Caenorhabditis elegans: one gene and its partners. The protein of the gene in region 1 interacts with the protein of each later gene in a pairwise test. Each region holds a gene or a part of one and is shown on either strand. Other genes may lie near its edges.

Region 1 (4,686 bases):
GTTGTTTTTCTGACAAGTGGAACATAGTGATGTTCAGGATGAACTACTTTTAAATCCAACGATTGAGAGCGTTTCTCAAGAGGAACATAATGATGTTCCCTGATTATTTTTCTCTGATCTTTCACATTCGCTGGTGAATCTGGGAGATAATGGTGCGCTCTTTCAACACTACGACTCTTTCTTTCAGCTTCCAAACTGTTTGGAATAAAGCTGTGATGGTGGAAACTTTCTCGCTTGTTGTTAAACAGCGATGGTGGCGTAGATGGGACAAAATGGTGAGCCCTGTTGATTTCTTTAAAATAGTCAATCGTTTGAACTTGCGGACTTTGTGCAATCGCACTTCCATCAGCTTTTCTAATTTGTCTTTCCACGTAATGATGACGAGGGTTGATGTGTCGATACTCTGTTATCACCTTGATTTGGGGAACATAATGGTGGCGCTGATCGTCAGTATAGAAAGCTGGCGAATGGGAGAAATGTTCAACAGTTGGCGTGTCATATACATGGTAATCGACTAGTGGCAGCGGTGGTGCTTGCTTGTGGTAGGAGGAGGAGGCGTGGTAAGAGGATGAGGATTTTTTAGTGTTTTCAGATTTATCAACTATCTCATAAGAATCGAAAGGAACGTCATAATGATTCTCTATTGCTTTAGAAGAAGAAGAAGAGATGAAGTTATCGCCGACCTGGAATTGCGTTTGCTCAACGACGACGTCTTGGTGTTTGTGGTGATGGTGTTGATCAAGATGCTTGTGGTGCTCATGCTTCTTCATTTCAAAGACAGGCGACAATGGTGGTGGAGCACCATGCTCAAACTTTCTGCGAAGGGAGCTAACACCTATAATATCAACAGATGAAGAATTATCCGCTCGGATATGAATACCTTCAGATCCTGAGCGGACATCTTCCAGAACAACAGTAGTAGACTTGACGATATCCTTTTGCTGATGAATCTCCGTTTCGTACGCGTTATAGATATGACTCTCTTCGTGGGTACGTGGTGGCTTAACTGGGATTGGAGCCACGTAGGCCATCACTGGGGGCCTAACCTCAACCTCTTCCTCCTCCAGCACCGCAGCCGGACGCAACTCCTCAGTAATTTTAGGCCCAACATTATGTGCTAACATTTGGCGACTTTGGTAAGTGGAGGCAGTGTTAGAACGGGACTGTTTCACATTGGAGGTGAAGGTATGGGTAACATGGGATTCATGGTGGTGGTGGTGGTGGTCATGATCATGATGGGTTATGGAGTGTTGATCCTCTCCGAAATCGACCGATAACACATTATGGTTCTCATGGACGATTTGATAAGGCTCGTAATGCTGTTCAATAACATGTTCATGAACAACTTGCGGAACTTGTTCCTCCAACTTGTGGTGATGGTCCTCATGAGTGTCCACATATTCCACCTTCTCAAAACCAAACGAATCCTCGCTATGAGCATCAAAAGCGCCCTGAACAAAGCTGTATTAATAAAAAACACAAACTCTTGACACTTACGACAACTGATGGTGGTTGGTAGTAAGCTGGAGCAGCAAAGTCCACAAATTCAACTTCGTGACTTCTGTGCAAAACATTGACACCATTGTGAGAATCGACAACTCCTCCCTGAAAGCAATTCACAGTTTAACTGATATGTCATTTAAAAACGTACAACAGCAATCGAGTGAGTCAACTTTGATGGAGCAATAGAGTCCTCGCTGTCACTTTGAATGTGAACTGAGGCAGGAACAATGCTGGAAACCACTGATTGATCCTGAAAAAGAAATTATAGGTGTTTTAAGTTTGAAAATGTTTATTTACTCTTCCATGAAGATTTTTAAATTGCTCAATCACTGCGTCATGCTCGAATGATTGTCCGACAGCAAGTGGGGTTGGAGCTTCAGATGCAACATGTGCTCCGACCACCTGAAAAATCATGAATAAATTGTTTTTTAATCTTTGTAAAACTGACGATCGGCTCATTCACAAGAGTTCCCTCGGAAATAGTCGACTCGCTGTCATGAGTCAAAGCGGAATGATGGGAATGTTGGGAGTGATGCGAATGATGCGAAGCGACGGAATGGTGGGACCTGTAGGTGTGTGAAAATTATTTATTATTTCTTCAGTAGAGTGAGCTTAAGATATACCCTGATCTGGAAGAAGCAACTGATGGTGCCTTTCCAACAACAGCTTCCCCAACAACAATCGGAGGCATGTCGTACTGTGGGATAGGTGGAAGATCGTAGTGCTGAAAAAGGCGTTTATAGTTTTCATTGTTCGAACTGAAATACCTGAGCGGATTTTTGAGAAACGCTAGAATGAACAGAAACTGATGTGGCTTTTGACATTGCGGACACCTAAATAAATGCTCTTTTTCAAAATAATGAAAGATTAATTTTAATATATACCTCCGACCGCTGATCTTCAGTATCCACAGTTGGACGACGTTGAATAACGGCATCATGACCAACAACGTTTCCTACGATAACCTGAAAAAATATTTTTTGTTCATTTTCCAACAAAATTGTTCTTAAATCAATCGATACTGTCATTCTTTTTCGAACACGGAAATCAAAGAGCACCAACTGATTTTCAGTTTTGATGAGCAAAAAATTGATAAGTTATCAAATCAGAAGTAAAAAAAATCAGATTATAATTGAAGTTAAAGTAATCTTTACAATGTAAATAAAAATTTGCTTACCCCAGAAGAGGAGAATTCCATATGCTCGTGGTGAGATTCAACATGATGACTCTCCTGAAATTCAATAAAATAACTAATATCAACAAAATAACTGTTCAAAAATTTTCTTACTTGGTGAAAAACAGTGTGAGATTCTTGATGATGCTCCATGATGGTAGTTGTTTGTCCAACAGCAGGAAGCGTGACAGCAGAAAAGACTTGGTCCATCAAACCTTTTTAAAACTGGAATTGGGAAATGTGTTAATGTCATACTTACTATCACTGGCATTCCTAGTCTCCATCATTTTTTCTTCGGTTCTTTTTTCCAATCCACGAACAATAGGTAACCTAAAATAGCTGAGAATTAAATTTGAAAAGGTTGTTAGATCATTATTATTATTATTATTGTTGCGAAAAAAAGTAAAACGCGAAGATTGGTTTCAAAAAGCAGTCGGGCTCTTAACTCTGCTACAAACGGCAAACACGGCGCCGATGATAACTGCCATTTGATGTAAGATGATAAACCACGACGACAAGGGGAAAGTGAGGGTAGAGAACAATTTCGAAACGACCGGTATGATAGTATGTGACACGCAGCACACTTTTTGGAGCACGTTTAATTTTGATAAACGCAGAGAAATTTATAAATGATTCTTTGCCGGACACATTACATGATAGCATAATAATTTTTTGTGACTTATTGGGGGACTTCCATTTAGACACGCTTAGAACATGAGAACATATTTTAATGTCAGAAAAGGAAACATAAGTTCAAAATTAAACTAAAATTATGGGAGAGAAATGGGTCTATATTCCAACTGAATTCCATGCTGTTTGAAGCAAGCGTTTTATAGTTTTTTAACCTGTCAGTGTTCCAGTTGGGAGGTAACAAGCATTGCACTTGCAGTGGAAATTATAGCAGATGATATTTGCTAAAGTGACAAAGAGAAAAAGAATGTCGATGTTTTTAATGTTTACAGTCTGCCAGTACCCGAAAATATTTGCTCTGAAAGGACGTTAAGTCATCTGAACGAATACAGTTTTTTTCATACATCTGAATTTATTTCAAGACACAAGAAAACATCTTATTAAATGCTCAATTACAAATATGATGAAATCCTACATTTTAGTTAAACGCACATTCTAATTTTGATAAACACTATATTTCCCGAGAAAACGACAATGACAAATTAAAGATAAAAATTTAATTTTAAATCAAAAACTTATCCAAAATGTTTCTGTTAGTGTGATATGTTTTATTTGACTGGAAACTGAAGCTTGACTAACAAAATTGTCATGTTGAGACAAGTAAAAGTTTTCTATACATTTAAAATTATATAATTATTTAGATATCATTTGTAATTTGTATAACACATTATTACATTGCAAAACTAGTAAGTAAGAATTTTTAAGAGTTGCAAAAAATAATCAGACACAAAATGATACATTTTTAAAGTTACAATTCCAAACAGTGAAAAACGCAGAAACGGACTATGACTTTGTGATGCCATACCCAAAAAATTCGAGAATTGGATATAATGGATATGTTTGAAAAATAATGTTCAAATCTTCGAATATCCTACCGAATTTGAGTTATAACGAAAATTAATGTTTTGTTGGTCGGCATCGAACTTTTCCTTGCAATCCTGTGAACACTCGGGAAATTAGTTTTTCGTGCCATAATAGAATACGGCTGAAATTGGTTTAATAAAACATTAATGGCAAATTTTTCAACATATCATTTATTTTTTGTTTCAGATACAGTTAAACATATTTACTGATTTTTATTTTCGGGCCATTTTTATTTTTCTACAGTCTGCGTTTCATCTAATAGTTCCATAATCTGTCCATTTCTACAGCAACATGCACAATTTTTGTTCAACTGTGAATAAAAATAGAGGAAACAAATCTTTCGTCAATCTCTATGCTTGGTTGTATAATCTTCGTGCGCTGACAATGTTGCCATGGAAATTTATCTTTCTCCGTCTCTCTTGAAAAAATAATGTTTTAAGCCAAAAGTGTTTTTA
Region 2 (4,927 bases), on another chromosome or scaffold:
CTCGGTTTCACAAAAAACATCGGGAGCCACTCAAAAACTTGATGGTTAGATTGGACATCACTGGTTGAAATTTAAACTGAAAAACTGAAAAAAAGAGAAACTGAAACTGACTGAACTGACACAAAACTGGACAAACTAGAACTAAAGTTCACTGCAAGAAAAAGCACTGCACAGAATTTCAGATTTTCACGGTCCTACAAGAAGACGATGAAAATCTGCACCCAGAACCCCCAATAAAAGTCCTACGATATATTTGGCACAGTGCCAAACCGACGGCATATCATCTCCAATCGTTTCGTAGCAAGTTCCCAGTGGGTAGCACGATGAGGTGCTCGTCGAGCAAGAGCTGGATGTCGAGCAACTCGGCAGACACGGCGGCTGCTCTTTTTGGTTCTTTTTCTGATATTGCTGAAGCCACGTTTTGGGACTCAGTTGACCATGGTCACCAAGTCCCAAATTAAGATTCTTGATCGACAACAGTTTGGCGGATTAGACGAAGGGAGCTTCGGGTAGAAGATAGAACAAGTGGGGGTGACAAAGTGAAGCAGCAACTAGGCTTCAAGAGTAGATGCTGGGGCGGGCGGTGGCTCAACGAAGGGAAGGGAGCCACCAAAATGTGGGCGTGGCCTATTTCTCAAGGGGAAGAGGCTACTATTGTTTTGACACTTGGCCACTTGCCAGCTGGATTGAAGTTGGAAAACGAAAGAAAAATACACATAAAGTGTGATGTGACTTTTTGTTGAAAAAAACGTTTTTTGGAAAGTTGAGTTGAGAGTAAAGTTCTCATGTCAACTTTCATGAATCTTGGCAGAATACAGCTATACGTCACTATTTGTGGCGCAAAGTTCAAAAGTTTAAATCAGCTACCAACTAGGTTCAAAATGTTCATGGCGTTAGAGCAAGATAGAAGAAAGTTATGTAAGTTGTTCATAAATTATATTATCCAGTTGTGTAACAATCCGATTTTTTGAGGCAAAATAACGGTAAATGGTCTCGACGCGATCGAAAAATTTTCACTTGCGCATTTAAAGAGTTCGTTCCGCAATTTTTATCGACTTTGCTCTTAAAATTTGGCAGTTAAGGAGAAAATAGCATTAAGAACAGGAAGCCGAAACTATTAAACTTTTAATGACGCATATTCCATTGCTCAGAAAATTTTCAGTCGTGTCGAGGCGTAATTTTTGACCAAAAATGAAATTGTTTCGCAACTTGGTAATAGGCAGTTGCTAACAATCATGGGGTTCGTTTGTGATTATTAATAATAGTTCAAAAACTGTTTCCAGATTTCCAAATGCCCGCTGCAAAAACCTAGTTCATGCTCATGGGCTAATAAATATAAAATTATTCAATTCCAACAAATTCTCACTTTTTCTTGTTGCCAATAGAGCGCAGATTCTGCCACCCACAATGAAAAACTGACACTAATCTTGAAATAGGAGAAAATAAACAAAAAGAAGAGGGGGAAATCCTCCTTGTCTTTTCTTTTCCTGCTCAATTTTTCTCTGCCTGATATTGGATTACACCCGGAATTTCCGTTTCGCATCTGATTTTGACTTTGTTGCAACAAGTTGCACACACACACACCGGATTAAAGCCTAAAGTTTCCCGGAGCACAGAGCATAAAACAATTTGTCTACGTCAAATAAATTTTTGGAGAAAAAGAAAAATGAGCATGAATCAAAGGGTAAACTAACAAAAGGGGGAGTGAGAAATCTAAGCGAGTAAGAGAGCAAAAGGACATAAAATGTTTATGGAAATAAGGGGAGGCGGATGTGTATGTCTATCTGTGTCAGTTTTGGCTTCAGTTAAAAAAAGAAAAGTTGAAGCAAAAATATTTGAATTAATTTGAATTTCCACCGACTCAATTGTACTTTTTCTGCAAAAGAGGGGGAAGATTGTGCTAACGGTTCGTGCACATAAAGGCTTTTAGATTTATGACGTGGTTCCTATGAGCCCCGGGTCACATAACCTAACAAGAGGAGGATAAGCTCCTATGGGAGCTCGGCTCGAACTAAAAATAGCAACTTGAACTGGGAAGTGGATATTTTGAGAAAAAAAAGTTTAAAATGAAGTGAAGATTTGTTTGAAAGTGGAGAATATTAGAATGTATGGAGGGTGTAAACATCGCATAGCATGTTTTTTTTTCCAATTACAGTTCATATTCTATTTGCAGCTTTTTGTTCTACTTTGACAGCGAAATAAGTATTCCAGCACAAAACAAACTTTGAAGCTCATATATCTCCCTAAAAATATCACTGAAATTTTTATAATTTCACAATCAGACAAAAAAAAACATGTTTTCAATTTACAATGTGTTCTTTGTAACTTCTTTACAATTCATAAGCTAGCTGAAATTTCTTCTTATTACTCCCATTCTTTCTATTTACATAATTTCCAGAAATGCTTCAAGCGTACATTTTCAGACCAAGCTTTCTCCACTTATGAAAATTCAATCTTTGATGTCCTTTTTACCACCACCCCCACACTAAATTACAATTGTCTCTTGTTCGAGCACATAAAAAGCTCCATCGTGCTTCTTCAAGATTCAAACCTCAATTTTATGGTTCACCAAGTCGGCTATTTGTGTTAATAAGGGGGTGGCATTTCCGAGAAGACTGTAATGGGGTAGAACAGAACAACACGCAATGTTTTTTGTGTTAGAATTTCCAAATTAGGAGGAAACTGTCATTTTTGAAACTCAAAAATGAAACAAAAAACAGAATCACATGCACACAAAAAAAACAAAAACCGGAAAGATTGCATGATCGAAAAAAAAAACTTACGAAGGATTTCGGCTCGGCCATGATGATCTCTCGAAGATAAACGGGGAGTCGAACGGTGGTCCTGAAAAAATTGGGAATTGAAATATTTTATGATATTTTTCATAGCTGTTAAGGAAAGTGAGAAGTTGTACAGAAGTTGGAAAATTACATAATTATTTGCTCTAAAAAATTTTCGTTTGTACCAACATACCCATGACCTCTCTTTTTCTTTACAGTACCATTAGTAGTAGGTTCTGTAACTGCTAGACTTTTCGATCTTCGTCGAAACATTTTTATAGGAGAGAATAGTTCAAATTTGGCGATGTTCTCCCCTATGTGAGATGTACAATATTTGTGTTGGTTTTGAAGAAGAGGTTATGGCTACGCTGGTATCAAAACTATATTTGAACATCATAAACGTTTTCGAAAGAGTTTCGAGAACTAAAAGGAAGATTAAACAATCCGAGGTTTTGTGTGAAGAAAAATAGTATATATTTGATTGAATTGTTACAGAGAATGGAAGGAAGAAAGAATGTGATAGATTGTAGAAAAAGAATAGGCGGGAAATAAAAGTGTGAGTCATGGAATTATGGGAATGAATTCCCGTGGATCGTTTTGGATGCAGGGAAAATTATAAATGATTTGATTTGGTTGGTTGCGAGAAATGTTATAAAATTATACCAGTTGTTGGAATCTGAATTTTTCATGCAAAAAATGATTTTGGAAGTTGTCAATTTGTCAGAAAGCGGCTGAACCGTAGCTCGAACTATTTTCGATTAGTTTTAAGGTTTTAAAACAGGGATAAAGTGTTATCAAGACTATTACTTCTGAGAATCTGTATGACTTGGAGTTTTACGAGAAATCCTTATTGGGAAAATTTGACAAAGTGGGCATAAAGATTGAGCTTCTAAATTAATCAAGTGAAACAAACTACAAAAAAAAACAAAAATATATAAAATTGAACAACCAAAACTCACATAATTCCAACTAAATTCAAGTTAACACCGACAAGAGTCGAAATATCAGAAACAACACAAGAAATAAAAATCAATCAAAACTGATAAATTGTGAGGTTAACAGGTGGCGAGGGGTTTTTCCCACTGCTGCTGATCTTTTTTATTTACTTCCCGCACGTTTCATTTTTTTGAACTCAGAGACAAAAATTATTGGGTGTGGAAAATGAGATACGCAGGAGGGATAAGGAGAGAGTTGGACAAATAATTATATGTCATTAGATTTTGAAATTAATTTGGATTTCGAAAGTGATTTGGAAAACCTACGTTTTTTTTAGGCAGAGTTAGTATGCTCACGCTAGTAGAAGTGCTTGCTGGAACCATGGTTTACAGTTTAAAAGAAGTGAAAAAATTTCAAAAAGTTTTTACTTTAAACAAAAACGCAATCATCCAGATTGCCGCAAAAAATACAATGTACAGCTTTTTTTACACAAACAATTTTTTCAGAAAAATCCAGATGCAAATTTGCAAGAGAACTGTAAAAACTGCACATTTCAGTCACTATTTATACCAACTGTATACATATAGTTGGTGAGAAGAAAAGAGAAAGACAAAAAATATATATACAACATAATGTATCTTCTCACTTTTTTTGCAATTTCTTTCCTAGCTACTACTCCACCTCTTCCTCCTACTCTTCTATCCTTGCTCTCCGATCACTCATTTGCCTCTTTTTCATGCTTTTCTTTTCCATCACTCAAAAATTTCAAAAAAAAAAACGTTAACGAAGAACATATGACTCAATTGAGGTCTTGGATAGTGAGTGAGAAAAGATATCCGATATGTTGCAGTTGTCGTTTTTTTTTTTCTTTTAGGTTTTAATTTCTAAAGGAAAAAACTCTTACGTTTTTCACATTTTTCGATGTTTCTGAATTTTAAAAACTAGAGTGTGATAGTAGAATTTCAGCGGGAAGGTTGAAAATGAACAATAGAAAAGAAAAATAATTGAATGTGATTAACAGAAAAAGAAAGAAAAATACATAAAAACCAAGTATAAGCATTTTGAGACAATGACTCACTACAACTTATTTATTATTTTCTATTCCAATATTTTGAAATTTAGTAGATTTTTTTTTCCGAATTTTAAAATAAACAACAATCAGGGATCGACTTTTGCTATTTGGCCTCGAAAAAAACTCGGTCATCGATTTA
Region 3 (4,529 bases), on another chromosome or scaffold:
CCGACAAATGACGGGATGAATCATTTGAGAATTTCTGTAAAGGTGCAACTAGAAGAGAAGTTGTACATTGTTTTTATTCGAAATTAGGCAGAAATTAACCGGCAAATACCGAGGTATATTGCAGGGAGCTATAGTACACATAATAATATCAAATTGACATGATTTATGAGTAGGGAAGTTGATATCATAATTGGTTCAAGTATATCTACTACTACTGACAACTTCGACGAGCCCTGAAACATAAACAGGAAAAATTGGTACTAGATTGTGTAACATACAATTGATGCGTACCTCTTCGAAAATATTTTACCGTAGTCTGAATTTGTACGTGATAAGCTCTCGTCAAAAACAAGAAACTACATACATTGCTGCTCACAACGAAATGCGTTCAATTGAAATTTCTATTTGCCAACCGGGAGCCTCCAGACGGTTAAAACTGTCAAATGATGTGATTCCGTATGACTCATCAATGTCTGACCCAGAAATCCGGTCCTCTCGGAGTTTCTAGTTGTTTTCCACGTGTTCCACGTCACAATTGAATTCACATGGCAACCAGCTGCATTGCATTGGTAAAGTGACCATTAAATTCAATACGAAAAGTAAGCAAATACTTCAATTGTGTGAGTTTTAGTTGACCAACTTTTCATCAGGTTCATGAAGAATGTGAATGAAAAATGTTTTTATTCACTGTGAAGTAGGGGAGATCAAGAGATAAAGAACAGGCTAGATTTGGAGATACGAAAAGCGACAAACATGTGTTTTTATGTAAGCAGTCTTCTCCGAGCATCTTTTTATAGATGTTCGAAATACTTGAAGCGAAAAATTGCGCAACTTGAACTAAACAAGATAATCAGTGCGGTTGCTGCTATTTATGGATGATGATTGCTCGCGAGAGGGGGTCAGCAGGGACGACATTCCTACAAAGGGCATAAGGAGAATGAAAAAGTATGCGGGTAGAAGAAGAGAGCAAATGAGCATTGAGAGCATACTGTATTTAGTGATAAGCAGAGATTTTTGATATCTAAGCTAAGAGTGTCCGGAACATTTGGAAACTAGAAGCATTGGTCATGGAATTTTATTTAGAAAAATTGAAAAAGGAAGTCACACACATAATAAATTATGTGCATCTAAAACGTTAAAAAATCCAAGTATTGTACCGATTTTAATATTTCCAGGTACTGAAAGATTTTGAAAAATAAACAATTTTAGCAGCGTTTTTTGAATTGTCTTTGCTTTACATTGAAAGCTTATATCTCGGTTCTCTTTGGTTTTATCAAAAAATTGTCAACAAACCAAATGCGTGTAAAATGTTTATCTATATATCAATAGTAGAACATTTTTTGATATAACTCATGACAGTCGAGATATGAGTCGTCAAATTAGAGCAGTCGTGGTAAAAACTTTTAAAATCACAAATCAAGAAAGATAATTAAATTATTTTTCGCTGTGTGACCATTTTTATTTCAGCATGCGCTTCAAAAAACTACCAAGTTGCGTTATCATATTCTTTGGTTTACTCCGAAAATTTACTGGTAGCTATATAATTTACCAAAGCTGAACAAATAATCCACTCATTTGGTGAATAGTTCTAAAGTATACAAGCTTCAAGTCATACAGGTTATTTCAAAACTACAGTACCCTTCAAGGCTTTGAGGACCTCCGGTTTCCGAGTATGAATTATGAAATGTTTTTCGTCTAGTCCTCATTGTCTCAATCACTATCTCCAGGCAAAAAGATGAGATCTCTTGAGGGTACTGGACTCTCCCTCAATCCTCCGATTCAAGGAGTTGTTTCGAACGCTTAAGCACTCCTGGCTCCGCGCGGGGCGGAGTCGAAGTGTGCCGCGACCGACCGACCGCCGGCGCCTTCCTCCCCATTACCCCCACCCATCTCCCGCCGCTATATAAAAGGTACGCAGTGCCATCTGGACAGAATACAGAGCCTTCGAGTTCTAGTCCTTCTCCTTCTTTTACCCAACTCATTATTCCCCACATTTTTGTTTCAATGGCAGCCCGCAGAGCAGCTTCGATTCTTCTTATCGCCGTTCTGGCCCTCTCCAGTACCTTCGTCTTCGCTGACGAAGAGACTGTCAAGGTAAATTTCTTTTTTAAATACTACTTTTGTACTTTTGAACATTTATTTAAGCATTCAGTCATACTTTCCCTCTTTTATGCTCACTATTATTTTCGTGTTTTCTGTGTACCTAACCATTAGGACACGGCGCGGATGTGGGTATTGAATGCACAATGTGCATGAATAGGAATAATGAATAGGCTTTAGGAACAAGCTGGTTATGATCATGATCTTATTGATCATGCCCAATTGAAGCATAGCGTCTAGTACATCAGGATCCAAATTTCAGCAATCATTTGTTTAAATAACTTTTCAATTTTAACTATGATGCTTCCTTATGACTGTCTAGACTCTTATTTCATTTATTCCCGTCATTGGCCATTCCTTGAGACCTCACTAATACAAAGTGAAGTGGTCATTTCAAGGGGTCAGCTGGCTTCTTCTCCTGCTCTTTCCCCTCCGATAAAAACAGGAAAAATGATAGTGTAAACAAAGGGCGCATGAAGATTCTCTCCGCGATTGCCCCCCAGAGTGTGCGCGCAAAAATCTAAGCACACTGTCTTTCCTTACGGTCAAACAAAAGAGCCCTAAATAACTGCAGAACGAGACCGGATTGGCGTTGTCGCGTGCCAAGAGACAGTGCTGTTCATCCAACTCCAACTCATGCTGCGGAAACAACAACAACGTGCAATGCATCCCAGTTTGTCTGCAACAGTGCCAGAGCTCATGCCAAACATCCCAATGCATCCAACAATGTCAGCCAGCTTGTAACCAACAGTGCGGAGGAAACAACCAAGTCATCCTTCTTCCACAAACCAACAACTGCAACCAATGCCAACAACAATGCATCAGCTCCTGTGCCACCCCAATCTGTGCTCAATCCTGCAACAACCAATGCTCCAGCTCTTGCGGAAACTCTGCTCCACAAATTGTCGTTCTCCAACCACAACAGAACCAATGTGGATCATGCCAGTCTTCCTGCCAACAGACTTGCCCAACATGCAACTGCCAATCTGCTTGTGCTCCAGCCTGTGGAGGAAACAACAACAATCAGCAAATCATCGTTGTTCAACAGGACAACTCATGCTCATCCAACTGTAACAACCAGTGCTCCAGCTCCTGCAGCACCCCAATCTGCATTCAGTCCTGCCAATCCTCCTGCCAACAGGCCTGCCAGCCAACCTGCCAGCCACAATGCATGCCATCCTGCTCGTCTAGCTGCACATCCAACCAGGCTCCAATCGTCATCGTCGCTCAACAAGGAGACTCATGCTCCAACTCGTGCTCCAACCAGTGCCAGTCTGCCTGCCCAACTCCAATCTGTGTCCAACAGTGCAACTCTCAATGTCAATCCCAGTGCTCGAACTCTTGCTCCGGAAACAGCTGCAACCAACAACAGGTAATAATATTGATTTTCCATTAATTCATGAATCAATATTACAGGTCATTGTCCTCCAACAACAAGACAACTGCCAGAATCAATGTCAATCTTCCTGCATGAACACTTGCCAATCATCGGCTACCGTTCTTCAATGCCAGCCAATTTGCCAACAAACCTGCCAGAATACCTGTCAACAAGCCGCTCAAATCGTTGTTCCATGCCAATCGAGCTCTTCTGGATGTGGATGCTCATCTGGATATTCTCAATGCGGTGGATCATGCTGCCGTCGTCGTTAAGCATCCCCTTCCCTGAATTCTATGAACGAATTCTTACCGTATCCGCGTTTTCTATGCGACAACTTCTGTTTTCGTTTCCCCATCCCACTTCTCACATAACTTTTATTATGACATTGTCTGTAAATAAGTGGTAGCCATGTGAGGTGTCTAATTATTTTATTATTGTTCCCTTCTTTTTCATGATGTTTCATTGTCCTTGAGTTTCGACAATAAATTATTCTAATTTAAGAATTATACAAGAAATGTTTTCATTCGGCAAAACATAAAATAAAAAATCACATATATTCACAGTAATCAATCATCATATAATAAATTGTATTGTTTAGTCCTGTTTGAATAGTCCTCGAGCTGAGCGACGAAGGGTTGAGCGACGCTGAAAAAAAAATTTAAAAAGAAGAAAAACAAATGTATCCAAATTAACAGTTTTTCTAAATTTATTATTGATTTTATTCCGAATTTTGCAAATATAAACGAAGTTACTGAAACAAATTCGAATTTTCGACAGAAGTTTCAAAATTTTCGCGTTTTTTATTCATTGGTTTCTCTTGATTTTTTCCTTGATCTTTTTTAATTGTCACCCAAAAAAAAGTCGTCGAAATTTCAAAATTAGCCTAGAAATGAGTAATGTAGCATTAGTTTCAACTCTTTTTTTTCGGAAAACTTTCTGAAAAAATGACAAAGTATCGAATCAAACACTAAAGAATTTTTCAATTAATGAATGAAAATTCCATAATTCGATAGAAAATTAAAAATTTTGAAAAAAGAGCACATGCTTGTTA

Evidence for each region.
Region 2: the proteins of hpo-34 (region 1) and lec-3 interact in a two-hybrid assay, tested with the Caenorhabditis elegans proteins (2 studies listed by BioGRID).
Region 3: the proteins of hpo-34 (region 1) and abu-14 interact in a two-hybrid assay, tested with the Caenorhabditis elegans proteins (2 studies listed by BioGRID).

Annotation. Positions count from the first base shown.
Region 1 is NC_003284.9:11,516,054-11,520,739, forward strand, and holds the start of hpo-34 (ZM domain-containing protein), read right to left. Parts: upstream 3,014-4,686; 5' UTR 2,965-3,013; coding exon 2,937-2,964; intron 2,893-2,936; coding exon 2,792-2,892; intron 2,735-2,791; coding exon 2,681-2,734; intron 2,469-2,680; coding exon 2,388-2,468; intron 2,337-2,387; coding exon 2,271-2,336; intron 2,228-2,270; coding exon 2,127-2,227; intron 2,070-2,126; coding exon 1,952-2,069; intron 1,906-1,951; coding exon 1,801-1,905; intron 1,754-1,800; coding exon 1,652-1,753; intron 1,606-1,651; coding exon 1,498-1,605; intron 1,452-1,497; coding exon 1-1,451.
Region 2 is NC_003280.10:9,989,286-9,994,212, reverse strand, and holds the start of lec-3 (Galectin), read right to left. Parts: upstream 3,054-4,927; coding exon 2,974-3,053; intron 2,851-2,973; exon of another isoform or gene 2,845-2,850; coding exon 2,784-2,844; intron 1,957-2,783; exon of another isoform or gene 1,876-1,956; intron 1,759-1,875; exon of another isoform or gene 1,638-1,758; intron 594-1,637; exon of another isoform or gene 280-593; coding exon of another isoform or gene 247-279; intron 71-246; exon of another isoform or gene 1-70. UniProt on the Caenorhabditis elegans protein: Binds galactose.
Region 3 is NC_003280.10:9,224,633-9,229,161, reverse strand, and holds abu-14 (Activated in Blocked Unfolded protein response), read left to right. Parts: upstream 1-1,947; 5' UTR 1,948-2,004; coding exon 2,005-2,094; intron 2,095-2,674; coding exon 2,675-3,472; intron 3,473-3,516; coding exon 3,517-3,750; 3' UTR 3,751-3,976; downstream 3,977-4,529. Other genes in the region: ZK1067.3 (uncharacterized protein), read right to left, coding at 4,073-4,123.